Linked DNA regions of Oryctolagus cuniculus. The protein of the gene in region 1 interacts with the protein of each later gene in a pairwise test. Links are inferred from orthologs where the notes say so. Each region holds a gene or a part of one and is shown in the gene's direction. Other genes may lie near its edges.

The links.
Region 2: the proteins of CCDC158 (region 1) and GPSM1 interact in a two-hybrid assay, tested with the Homo sapiens proteins (2 studies listed by BioGRID and IntAct). The link is inferred for Oryctolagus cuniculus from reciprocal best matches to the Homo sapiens genes CCDC158 and GPSM1.

Annotation. Positions count from the first base shown.
Region 1 is NC_091439.1:89,539,936-89,545,937, forward strand, and holds part of CCDC158 (coiled-coil domain-containing protein 158), read left to right. Parts: intron 1-864; coding exon 865-984; intron 985-3,503; coding exon 3,504-3,701; intron 3,702-5,346; coding exon 5,347-5,829; intron 5,830-6,002.
Region 2 is NC_091432.1:236,689,412-236,695,413, reverse strand, and holds part of GPSM1 (G-protein-signaling modulator 1), read left to right. Parts: exon of another isoform or gene 1-3,070; coding exon of another isoform or gene 3,071-3,249; intron 3,250-4,800; coding exon 4,801-5,022; intron 5,023-5,386; coding exon 5,387-5,522; intron 5,523-6,002. UniProt on the Homo sapiens protein: Guanine nucleotide dissociation inhibitor (GDI) which functions as a receptor-independent activator of heterotrimeric G-protein signaling.

The DNA of each region.
Region 1 (6,002 bases):
ACTCAGCTGAAACCCAAAGCTAGGTGTCCGTAGCCCGAGATTTTAGTCTGCCCCTAGAGGGTGAGAGCTGGGTGAACAGTGTCAACACTGTTAACAGTGCGGCAGCCTCTGTCCTCTGCTGGAGCTACTGCAGGCTGAGAAATTGAGGAAAGGAAATGTCTGGCGCCCCTGGGGTGGTACTGTTAGTACAGAAGAGTAAATCTCTCTCCCTATTCAAACAGGTCAAACAACTGCCCTGTCTTGAGAGGAAAATACACATTTAACGGTTCTTTAAATTGGAACTCTTATCCCTGTTTTGTAGCTGAGGAAAATGAGGATTGGAAAATCAATTGTTCAATATGTGTATTGTCCAAAAACGTGTGTGTGTGTGTGCACACACACTCACCCTTTCAAAATAGTTACTCTAAAATGATATAACGTAGTTACTCCTGTTATTATCCTTTATTCTTTTACATCAAATTCCTTCAATTATTAGCACTGATATTCTGAATTGATACAGTTCATTTGTATGCAGTTGTATATAGAATACAGTTTATTTTTATATGCTCAGTAGTGTGGTGTTCATACCAATCAAGATTCTATAACCCTCAAATTAGAGAACAAATGTTCACAGAAAATCTTGAATGGAATAAAAGTAAGAAAGACTTGTGTATAGACAGTGCCCAAATCCAATAGTACTCAGTATTTCATTTTGGCTAATTTCCCTGGCTATCTCCTACATAGATCTTAATTCTAGAATACTTTGCAAAATATATCACAATAAACTTTTACTTGCGTCCCCAAATAATACCGTTTGTTTTCCAAAGACTCTATTTCCTGTGGCCTTGACATGGTCTCACTGCTGTGTCTGCGTTTTCCTTTTAGATAGAGGAACTGGAGAAGCAGCTAGTCCTTGCCAGCTCAGAGCTAACGGAAGCACGCAGCGAACGTGACCAGTTCAGTCAGGAGTCCGGAAACCTGGACGATCAGCTTCAAAAGCTGTTGGTAAGACTGTGCGCTCAGATGCGGATGAGACTGATTCTGGGAAGGCTTTCACCAAGCTAGTTTCATTTATGAAAGGGCAGATGGTACACAGTGTTTGTACACACAGTAGACCATCCTAGACCCTGCTCAAGTTTTGCTCATAAAGATATTCTGTGTACTTCCTCTTTTATTCTCAGCAGCGCTGTTAAGGTGTTAGATAAGAAGGAGATCGGGCCGGTGCTGTGACGCAACAGGTTAAAGCCCCAGCCTGCAGTGCCGACATCCCATATGGGTTCTGGTTCGTGTCCCGGCTGCTCCTCTTCCAATCCCACTCTCTGCTATGGCCTGGGAAAGCAGTGGAAGATGGCTCAAGTCCTTGGGCCCCTGAACCCCATGTGGGAGACCCGGAGGAAGCTCCTGGCTCCTCGCTTCAGATCAGCTCAGCTCTGGCCATTGCAGTCATTTGGCGAGTGAACCAGAGGAATGAAAGACCTCTCTCTCTTTCTGTCTCTGGCTCCACCTCTCTGTAACTCTGTCTTTCAAATAAATAAAATAAATCTTAAAAAAAAAAAGAGATCTACAGACCACTGCAGACTTTGAGTTAGGTGCTGAAAGTTAGGTACTCAAGCCACGTTAAGTGTATTCCTTGTTCAGCCAAATCACATTGAGAACACATATGAATTCTGTATATAGAAATTCTTACTGGAAGATCGGGGGACACTATTTTACAAAGAAAAAGGCAATGGTGTTGTGACACAGGTTGAGAATTTTCCTGATCCCAAGTACTCGGGACCAGAAGTAGTTTGGACTTTGGATTTTTCAGGTTCTGGAATATTTATTTGCATATACCTAATGAGCTATCTCTGGGGTGGGATCCAAGTGTGAACATGAAATTCATTTATGTTTGAAATGCACCTTCTACATGTAGCTCAAAGGTAATTTTGCACAAAATGTTTAATGCATCTGTGTTTTGCCTGTGGCCCATTCACCACATGAAGTCAGGTGTGGAGGTTTCCACTAGTAACATCATGCTAGTGCTCAAGAATGTTGAGCTCTTTCTTGGAATACTTAGAATTTTCAGATTAAGGAAATACACTACTAGTGAGGATCCTCTTAGAGCTGCTGCATGCTGAGAGCTTTAGGCACCCCTTGATGTGCTCTCAGTGGTACGGCGGAAGTTCCTCTCCCTACCAAACCCTGTTCTAGGACATGGTGCTTCTGACTGGTACAGCCACCCCTCCTAGGCCCCAAAGGGGCTCCAGGGGGTGTGGCGGATGGAGAGCCAACCACCGCGTGTGGACAGCTAAGGGGCTCCGGGGGTGTGGTGGATGGAGAGCCGACCACCGCGTGTGGACAGCTAAGGGGCTGCAGGGGGTGTGGCGGATGGAGAGCCGACCACCGCGTGTGGACAGCTAAGGGGCTCCAGGGGCTGTGGTGGATGGAGAGCTGGCCACTGCGTGTGGACAGCTGTAAGCCTCAGGAGAACCTTCTTTTCTGGACGTGTTGCATATTTCTCAGCATTATCAGGCCTAATTTGAAAATCTTGCAGATCAAGTTTTCCTGGTTAGCACCGTGGCTCCTCAGTACCTTCCCCCAGAGCAGGCTGTCATCTTTCTAGTTCCTAGAAACTCTGGTTTCTCCTCTCCCAGTCTTTCCTGTACATGCTGCCACATTCATCTTTCTGAAATCCAGCCCCGATTACGTCACTCACCCACTCAGAGTACTCCCTCTAAAGTCATGGTCCCTCCCTCTCAAGACTCTGTCCCTGAGCCGGCCTCTGCTTTCCTTTCCAGCCCTTTCTCTCCCACTGCCCCACGCAAATCACACCTGCTCCTTCCTCATCTCTGCACCTCCACATTGTTCTCAAGTGCAACTCAAATGTAACTCATGTCATCCAGAGGCATTTTAATCCTTCAGTTGAGACTCACCCTACTCTGCCTTAGATCTGTCCCTTTAATGAAACTCGCAGCTGTCAAATCTGTGTCTTTCACTCTGACTGAGAGTCCTTTGGAGGGGGCTGTGTCTCCGTTTCTCCTACTCTATGTACAGTTTTTGCTCATAGTAAACCCTGACCGTGAGGTGACTTTCTTCGTAGCCAACTGCTACTCCAGTCCTAGCATTGGCCACTGTTCTGCCATTTCTGAAGCATGGATTGAATTACTGTAGTTATTTAAGTTTTGAGTATGTCCTTACTGCAGAAGCACATTTGATGTGAAGCATGATGTCTGTTAGAAAATTGAAGACTAAGAACAGAATGACCTTGTAAATCTACTGTCTGCTGTACTTTTCTTTTCATTCTATGTTTTTTGAGGTCTGGTCTCTGGAGGTTGACTTACAATGCTCAGAATTTTAAGTATGCAAAATGTTAACTTATTTTTCCAGGGAATAATCACTCCTAATCCAACCATCAATAAAGGAATCAGATTCTGAACTCGAAATTCCGCGAATCACATAAAAACTCCACAGATGACATAAGAAAACAAGAGTTTTACATGAGTGATTTTGCACCAGGGGCACAAAGTGTTTCTTGCCTCTTTTAGGCTGATCTGCACAAGAGAGAGAAGGAGCTGAGTCTGGAGAAGGAGCAGAACAAGCGCCTGTGGGACCGAGACACGGGCAACAGCATCACCATCGACCACCTGCGGCGGGAGCTGGACGACCGCAACATGGAGGTGCAGCGGCTGGAAGCCCTGCTCAAGGCCATGAAGAGCGAGTGCCAGGGCCAGATGGAGCGGCAGGTGAGAGTCCACACACGGGCTTGGGCCTAGCAGAGGCACGGACTCTGCAAGCAGTGTACGAAAAACCGGCATTGCCTTCCGTGGTTCTGATCATTCATCAAGCCAAGCACGTTAGGTTGTATCTCATTTGTGTAGTGTCCCAAAACGAACTCCTGTCCAATTGGCTTTTCATTTTCACTAGAAATTAGGAACATAATCAGAAAAGTATCAAACTTGTCAGGATATCCATGGGGCAGTAGGGTTGAAGATTTCCAGTAGGTGTGTCTTGTTTTCCCTCCAGGCTGATAGAGACTAATGCATGTTCTATTCCAGGACATCAGTAGCAAAATGTGGACTGCTTTCCTTTTTAAAAGTTTACTTATTTGAAAGGGAGAGAGATTAGGAGAGAGAGAGAAAGAAGTATGTCCATCTGCCGGTTCACTCCCCAAATGCTCACAATAGCTAGGTCTAGTCCAGGCTGAACCAGGAGCCAGGGACTCCATGGAAGTCTCCAGTATTGGTGGCAGGAACTCAAGTACTTGGGCTGCCACTGCTGCCTCCCAGTGTGCACATCACCAGGAAGCTGCATGAATTGGAATCAGGCACTCCTATATGGAATGCAGGCATTCCAAGCAGCAGCTTAGCCTACTGCACCGCTATGCCACCCCAAGTAGACTGCCCTCTTAACAGTGTACCATCAGTGTTAGAGGTGGTTCTATCGCCACTTACTACTGCAGGACTACAAGCATCCCACATAACTGTAAGCTCCCCAAAATGTGAAAGCACATCAGCGGGACAGTTGGCTTAGATCGACGCAAGCCCTCTCCCTATGATCTGGTCTAATTTGGGCAGGAAGCATGATGAAAGGAGCAACTGGAAGTTTGAATCTTACTCCGTTTGAAGTGAAGACCACAGGATATGAATATGGGAAAAAGCCATTATTCATTTTTCCCTAGGGTGGAATTAAGGAGATGCTAGGAAGAAAATGGAAAATAAAAGTCGTTGTCTTCACTCCTGCTACTCTTTCCCTCCATCACCAGTGTTATCTCTGTTTAAAGGGGAATAGCAGACATCCTCAGAGGAAACTTCCCAAGCTCCCCACTCTTGGAAACCATCACAGGGAAGTCCTCTCCACCTTGGTCCAGTTAACATTTGTCTGTCTGCCTTATACATGCTGATGATCTAGGATTCTGATAGCAAAACAGTTTGAGGGGCTTGTGTTGTGGTGCAGCAGGGTAAGCCTCCATTCGCAATACCAACATACCTTATCAGAGTGCAGGTCTGGGTCCCAGCTTCCCCACTTCTGATCTGGCTCCTTGCTAATGTACTGGGAAGGCAGCAGAAGGTGGCCCAAGTGCTTGGGCTCCTGCCACCCATGCAGGAAACCAGTATAGATTTCCAGGATCCTGGTTTCAGCCTGGCCCAGCCTGGCTGTAGCGGCTACTTGGGGAGTGAACCAGCAAATGGAAGATCCTCTCCTCACACCCCTGTCTTCACTCTGTTTGCTACTCTGCCTTTCAAATAAATTTAAAAATTTTTTTGAGTTATTCTAACTGGCTGTTATGCCATTTATGATTTTATGCTTTTGAGTTAGCTTGTTAAATTTCTTAAGGTTGCCTATACTTATCCTCTGAAATCCATGAATTCCCTTTTCCTTAACAATCAGATGGCAGCAATTCAGGGAAAGAACGAAAGTCTGGAAAAAGTGTCCTCATTGACTGCGCAACTTGAATCCACCAAGGAGATGCTCCGCAAAGTGGTGGAGGAGCTGACAGCCAAAAAAATGACCCTGGAGAGCTCTGAGAGGACCGTATCGGACCTGACTACTTCCCTCCAGGAAAAGGAGAGAGCCATCGAGGCCACCAACGCAGAGATCACCAAGCTGCGCTCCCGGGTAGACTTGAAGTTGCAGGAGCTCCAGCACCTGAGAACGGAGGGGGACCACCTCAGAAACGTGCAGGCGGAATGTGAGGCCCTCAGGCTGCAGATGACCGAGAAGGACAAGGTGATCGAGATTCTGCGACAGCAGATTGAAAACATGACGCAGCTGGTGGGCCAGCATGGCAGGACTGCGGGTGCTATGCAGGTTGAAAAAGCTCAGCTTGAGAAGGAGATCAATGACCGGAGACTGGAGCTACAGGAATTTAAGGTCAGTAGAATTTGGGGTGGTTTAGCTCCTGAAATACTGCTTTTTTTTCCCCCTATGAATCAAGCTGACCTAATTGATTGAAAACTGGATCCTGGTGTCTGTGAACCCTCGTGTATTTATTTGAAAATATTTATGTCTATATGTGTATTTGTGTTTTTCTGAGAGGGGATCCA
Region 2 (6,002 bases), on another chromosome or scaffold:
GCCCCCCAGAGTGGTCCCGAGCTGGGCCTGGAGCCAGCAGGGTGGGCCTGGGTGCTGGGCTTCAGGGGGGCAGGCCTGGCTGCTGGCGGGGGGCCAGACAGGCCCAGGCGACACCACTGTCCTGGTCCCCTTTGGCCGTCTCCGGAGCCTGGTGGTCTCCAGAGAGAGGCCTGGCTTCCCAGGACTTGGCACTCCAGCCATGTGGTGTGCTGGCCACAGACGTCTGCTGGGCTCCCCCAGCCGGAGACAGCAGGCCCTGCTGCCCACCCTGGGCCTGCTCCGCGGGGCTGGGCAGAGACGGAGCCCCTTTGTGTGGTCTGGGGATCCAGCCGGGCCCCCGTGGGGGGAGGGGCGGAGGCTGGCTCTGCCGGCACCTGGTGCAGCAGGCCTGCCCCCGCCCCCACCGTGGGAATCCAGTGTTTCCCACGGCTCGTCCATGGTCCATGGTCCACCTGAGAGCCGGGCTGGGAGCTGAGGGCCCCGCAGGCGGGGGCTCTGTCAGTACTCAGGCTTGACCTGGGGGCCAGGGGGACGCGCCGGACGGGACCCTGGCCTTGGGAGCTGGCCCCGAGCAGGGACAGCACTGGGAGGGGGCCCTGGGACCCTCCCAGCTGAGACCCACGTGGAACCTGAAGGGCAGAGCCGGGCCAGGGGCCGTGGGGGCCCTGGGGGAGTTTGGGCCCTGGACCCACAGCGGGGTCTGGGCAGCCAGTTCCCGGCCGGGACTGGCTTTGGGGGTCCTGAGCCGGTGGGGGCCGGGGCGGTGAGGTTTGAGGAGAAAGAGGATGTCTGGGAAGCCCACCTGCCCCGGCGGCTCCTGGGTAGGGGGGTGGGTTCCCGCTGGTCTCTGTGCTGCCCCCCCCCCAATGCCATCGTCCTGCCCAGAGAGCAGAGTTCGGTCTCACAGGCGGGGGCCGGAGGGACCCTTGTGCCACACGGCCCGGGAGTCAGGCATGTGCCTGTGAGCGGACCCTGGGAGGGGGCGGAGGAGCCCCTGGGCCCGCCTCAGAGGTGCACCCCAAGCGGCGGGCACTGGCGCCCTCAGGTGTGGGGCAGGAGGCTCCCGTGGCCACGTGCCGGGCCGCCCCCACCCTCTTGTGGTCCCCCGCCCAGGTGCGTCCCCAGGCACGGTGACCTGGCCACCCCTGCCTCACTGCCCTGAAGCTGGAGTGACCCCCGCGTCCCCCTGGTCTCCGCCACCCCTGGCCCTGTCCTGCCCCTGCCTTCTCCCTGCCCCGGCCACGGGAGGCGGGTCTGTGACTTTGTTCTCTCTGGGGCTGGCTGGACGGGGCCCGGGGGAGTTGGAGCCAGTGGTGAGCAGGGCTCTCCTGGGTGCCTGCCCTGGGGCCAGAGTGGAGGTGACAGCTGGGTGAGGGTGCGGATTCGGCTGTTAGCAGGGGTGGGAGCTGGGGCTGGATTGGGAGCCAGGAGTCTGGGGGGCCAGGCAGTCGGGGTCCGGAGGCCAGACAGGGCAGCGGCCGGGGCTGGGGCTGGAGAACAGGTGGGTGCGGCCCAGGCATGGCTTCTCCCTGCCTGGAGAGGTGCGGGCAAGACGTGGTGGCCACAGCAGCGGGGCTGGCCACCAGGGAGCCGCTCACCGCTTTGCTGCCCGGGACACGGGCAGAAGCACCTGTCTCCTGCCGCCACAGTCTGCCTCCTCCGGGACCTAGGCTGGAGCGGGGCCAGGCCAGGCAGTCCCAGGGCACCCGAGGCAGGCTGCAGGGGAGGGGAGGGCGAGGGCTGTCTGTCCATGAAGCCGTGTGTGTCCGGCAAAGGCGCCCCCACCCCCGCAGGGGGCCCGAGCCCTCCGTGCCGGACCCCAATCCTAGAGGCCACGGGCACCCTGGGCCGTCCTGCAGGGCGGGGTCCCCAGTGCCCAGACAACCAGCTGGGGGACTGACAGCCTGCAAAGCTGGTAGACCTAGGCAGGTGGCGTGGGGCACAGGTTCCGGAATCTTCTCCGCCAATGGGTGCAGATCCTAGGAGGATCTGGGGTTCAGCGTCTCAGTGGCCAGGCCCCGGCCAAGCTGTCCTGGGGGTGGACACGTGGGCTGGCCTCACTGAGCGCCCCAGGACAGGGAGGGGAGCGTCCGGGGCCGTGCTTGGGTTGCTGTCTGAGCAGAGCCCCCGCCCCCATTCTCCAGCTCCTGCTCACCCCAGGACGCCACCCCCCCCCCCCCGTGCACACCTCCAACCAGGGCCGATGGCTGCGCAGTGGCGTCCCCAGGGTGGGGTTGGCGCTGTAGGGGAGGGGTGGTAGAGGAGGCCCCTAGGGGAGGCTCCGATTCCGCACCGGTGACTCGCCCGAGGGGCTGTGCACTGGGCGCCCTGCCTGCCTGCTCACGGCTGGGCGCTGCACCTGCCCCAGCAGCCCGGGGTTGGGGTCACACTCAGCTGAGGGGTGTCTGGGCCCTGGCAGGTGGGAGGACGGGCGCTGGGAGTCTCCTCCCAAGCCCCCCACTCCCAGCCTGTGTGTCCCGCCCCCTGGGGAGACCCCGGGCCCTGGAGCTCACCGCAGACATCAGGCGAGGCACGGCGCGCACGGGGCGCACGGGGCGGCTCGGCCTGGACTCCGTGTTCCGTGTCTGTGGAGGCTGCCCCGTGCCGTGTGCTGGGAGCTGGTGCCACAGAGGCCACAGCAGGACAAGCCGGGCTGGGGTCCCCAGGGGGCCGGTGAGACCCTGGGGGCCTTGAGATAGCAGTGGAGGGGCCGGGCCAGCACCGCCCAGCCCTGGGAGGGCGCTCCTGGAGACCGGGCCAGGCGGGACAGGCTCAGAAGCCGCCCGGCACCGGCTGCGGGCAGACCCCCGGGGTCCCGCACGGCCTGGGCTTGTGCAGGGGGAGAGCGGTGGCCGGGAGGTCCGGGTCCCCCCGCCCTGCCCAGCCCAGCCCCCGGGAGGCTGGATCAGGATTACGGCCTGGCCGCCCGCCCAGCCCGGCTGCTGACGGTGCTGATCCAGCTCCTGATCCCTCACGCCCCACGGCCCAGGCCAGAGGCCCTGGCTGCCCCAGAACCACGGTGGCCGAGCGCTCAGCCCCCCACCCGGGAGGCGGGGGGGCGCAGGGGCCCATGGCCACGGTCCGCAGGGAGGCCTCCGCCCTGGAGGCCCAGCCCGTGGCCCTGAGCCCGGCAGAGAAGGCCGTGTGCAAGGTGGTGTATGGGGCCCCCCGCCCCCGCCCGCTGCTGCTGCCCGTGGGCCTGGAGCTATGGCTGTACGTGCAGAAGATGCGAAACCTGCACAGGACCAGGTGCGGCGCTGGGCTGGGGGGCTGCAGGGCCGGGGCGGGGTCCGCTGCCGTCCTGGGAACCCTGCAGGGGGCAGGACACCCTGCCTGGTTCCCCTCCAGGGGGTCCCCACGGCGGTCAGCTCCTGGCCCAGCTTCGGGCAGGCGTGTTGGTGACCGCCAGTGCACCCCCTTGGACGTCCAGGCGGCCGATGCCACAGCTCTGGGTGGGGAGGGGTGCGGGGTGGGGGCTGGGCAGGGACCAAGCAGGCCAGCCGCAGGAGTGGGCTCTCGTGTGGCTGCTCTCGTGGTTTGCGTGGGCGTGGCAGCCGGAAGCCCTCCCCGGGGAGCGTGGCGAGGAGCCAGGCAGGTCGTGGGTGGCCTGAGGGCCTGGCCTCTGCTGGACTAGGGGCAGGGGTTGGTGGATTCTGAGCTCTGCCCGGGCGGTCACCAGGGCCGCCTGTGTCACCGTGCATACCCTGAGCCGTGACTGTGCGGGCGCTGTGCCCCGACTGCCCGGGAGGGGGCGACTCCCCGTGACAGGCAGGTGGGAGCCACCCGGGCTGCCGGCGGGGCTCGGCATAGGCCGTTTGGAGCAGGCCTCTCCTCCATGTGCCCGCCATCCCGAGGACCCAGGCCGCCCCCTGTCCTGGAGAGCCTCGTGGGGTCGGGGACACCCCCTGAGCACCAGGCCCCCGGTCAGGAAGGGTGGCGGGGCAGGGGCCGGCCCTGGTTCCTGGGGGAGGAGGGACAGAACAGAGCTCAGAGTGCAGGGGGCTGTGGTGGGCTGGGAGCCGGGGGGGCTCCCCAGCAGGAGGCCCTGAGCCTGGGGGTGCAGGGGGCTGGGGCCGCCGGCCCTTCCACGTCCAGGTGACCCCAGTACCCTGCAAACGTGGACATGGCCGCGTGGGGAGTGGGCTGAAGTGTGGGGCCCTGAGAAACCGCCCCGAGTAAGAGAGGAAGCCCCTCTTCTCGTGCCCCCACTGTCACTCGGTGGCCACACCCCCTCGCTGTGGGGCAGGGGGCGGGGCTCTGGTGGGGACGCTGGGCAGCACCCTGCGTTTCCTGCAAACTCCGACCGCGTCCAGAGCGCTGGAGAGAAGGCAGGAGTGAGGGGCCAGCTGCCGCCTGCCGGTCACGGGGCTGGGGGCCGGGCCGTGTGCCTCCGCGGAGCGCCTGTGGGGCCAGGGCAGCCTCACTGCCCGCTGCCCTGATGGCCGTGTCCCGAGGGCGCAGTCAGCAGGCGCTGGAGACCCCGCCGGGGTAGGGGGCTTTGCAGGGCCCGAGAGCGAGGGCTTCTGTGGCCCAGCCTGCCGCGGGCGCGCAGCCCTTCCCGGCCGGCCGCAGCGAGCCGCCTCAGCTCTGCGGGGCGGGGGTCCCGGTGGGGACCGGCTGACCCCTGGTGCAGCCTCGCCTCTGCCCGGAAGTGACCTCCAGGCCCCAGCCCCTCCCGGTTGGTGTCGCAGTGGGCGACGGGCGGGGCCTGTCACCGCTGTGGCCCAGCAGGACGGCGGGTGGTCCCTGGTCCCCGGTGTCCCGGGGTGGTCCCTCACCCGCCCCTCTGCCCTTGCCCAGGATGGAGGCCTCGTGCCTGGAGCTGGCCCTGGAAGGGGAGCGCCTGTGCAAGGCCGGGGACTTCCGGGCCGGCGTGGCCTTCTTTGAGGCGGCCGTGCAGGTGGGCACCGAGGACCTCAAGACGCTGAGTGCCATCTACAGCCAGCTGGGCAACGCCTACTTCTACCTGAGGGAGTTCGCCCGGGCGCTGGAGTACCACAAGCACGACCTGCTGCTGGCCCGGTGAGTGCCGGCACGCCGCGCCGCGCCCACCCCGCACACGAGCTGGCGGCCGGCTCCCGGAGTTCCCTGTGTGTGCCTCTGTGTGCCCTGCAGCGCCCCCCAGAGGCCGTGCGCACGCCTGGCCTGGGGCTCTGCCTCCCTCCCCGGAGCCCCTAGCCCCTGGGCCTCCTCCCGCAGCCCCTTGCCGGGCCCTGCAGGGGCGCCCCCCCGCCCCTCCTCCTCCAGGCCCTGAAGCCGCCCTGGCCTCCCGGACGGGAGCCTTGTGTGCCCGTCGGTACCTCGGTACGGGGCTGGGTGTGTTCCCGGTGGGCACGCGGCAGCTGTCTCCCCTGCAGCCCAGCCCCTCACTGCTCCCTGCTCCCAGGACCATCGGCGACCGCATGGGCGAGGCCAAGGCCAGCGGGAACCTGGGCAACACACTCAAGGTGTTGGGCCGCTTCGACGAGGCCATCGTGTGCTGCCAGCGGCACCTGGCCATCGCCCAGGAGCAGGGGGACAAGGTCGGTGTCGGCCCCGCCGCCCCTGCCTGTGGCCTGGGTCGGGGGTGGGCAGTCAGGGACGAGTGGCCTGGGGGAGCAGCAGCCCCTGGACACACAGGGCACCCCGGCTCCTGCCGGCGCTGCCGGGCCAGGCCCCGCCCCTCCCACGCTCCGCTGACTGCCCTGGAATCCGGATGACCGCAGTCACTGCCCGCAGGGCCCAGGAGGTGGCGCCGTCCCACTCAAGTTCTTGGGTCTCCGCCAGCAGCCTGGCCCTGCCCGGCTGGGGACATCCGGGGCCTGCAGCGGGGGACGGGGGCTCTGGGAGGAAGCCAGGCAAACGTGCAGGGGGCGGGCCATGGGCCCCGCTGTGCTGCCTGCTGTCCTGTGCCGACCTCCCTCGCTCCCTGAGGCCCAAGGGCAGCGGATCCCACGGGCATCAGAGGAAGATGCCCCCGGGCCCTGGCAGAGGAGGGGGCGTGGCCAGGGCACTGCAGGGCG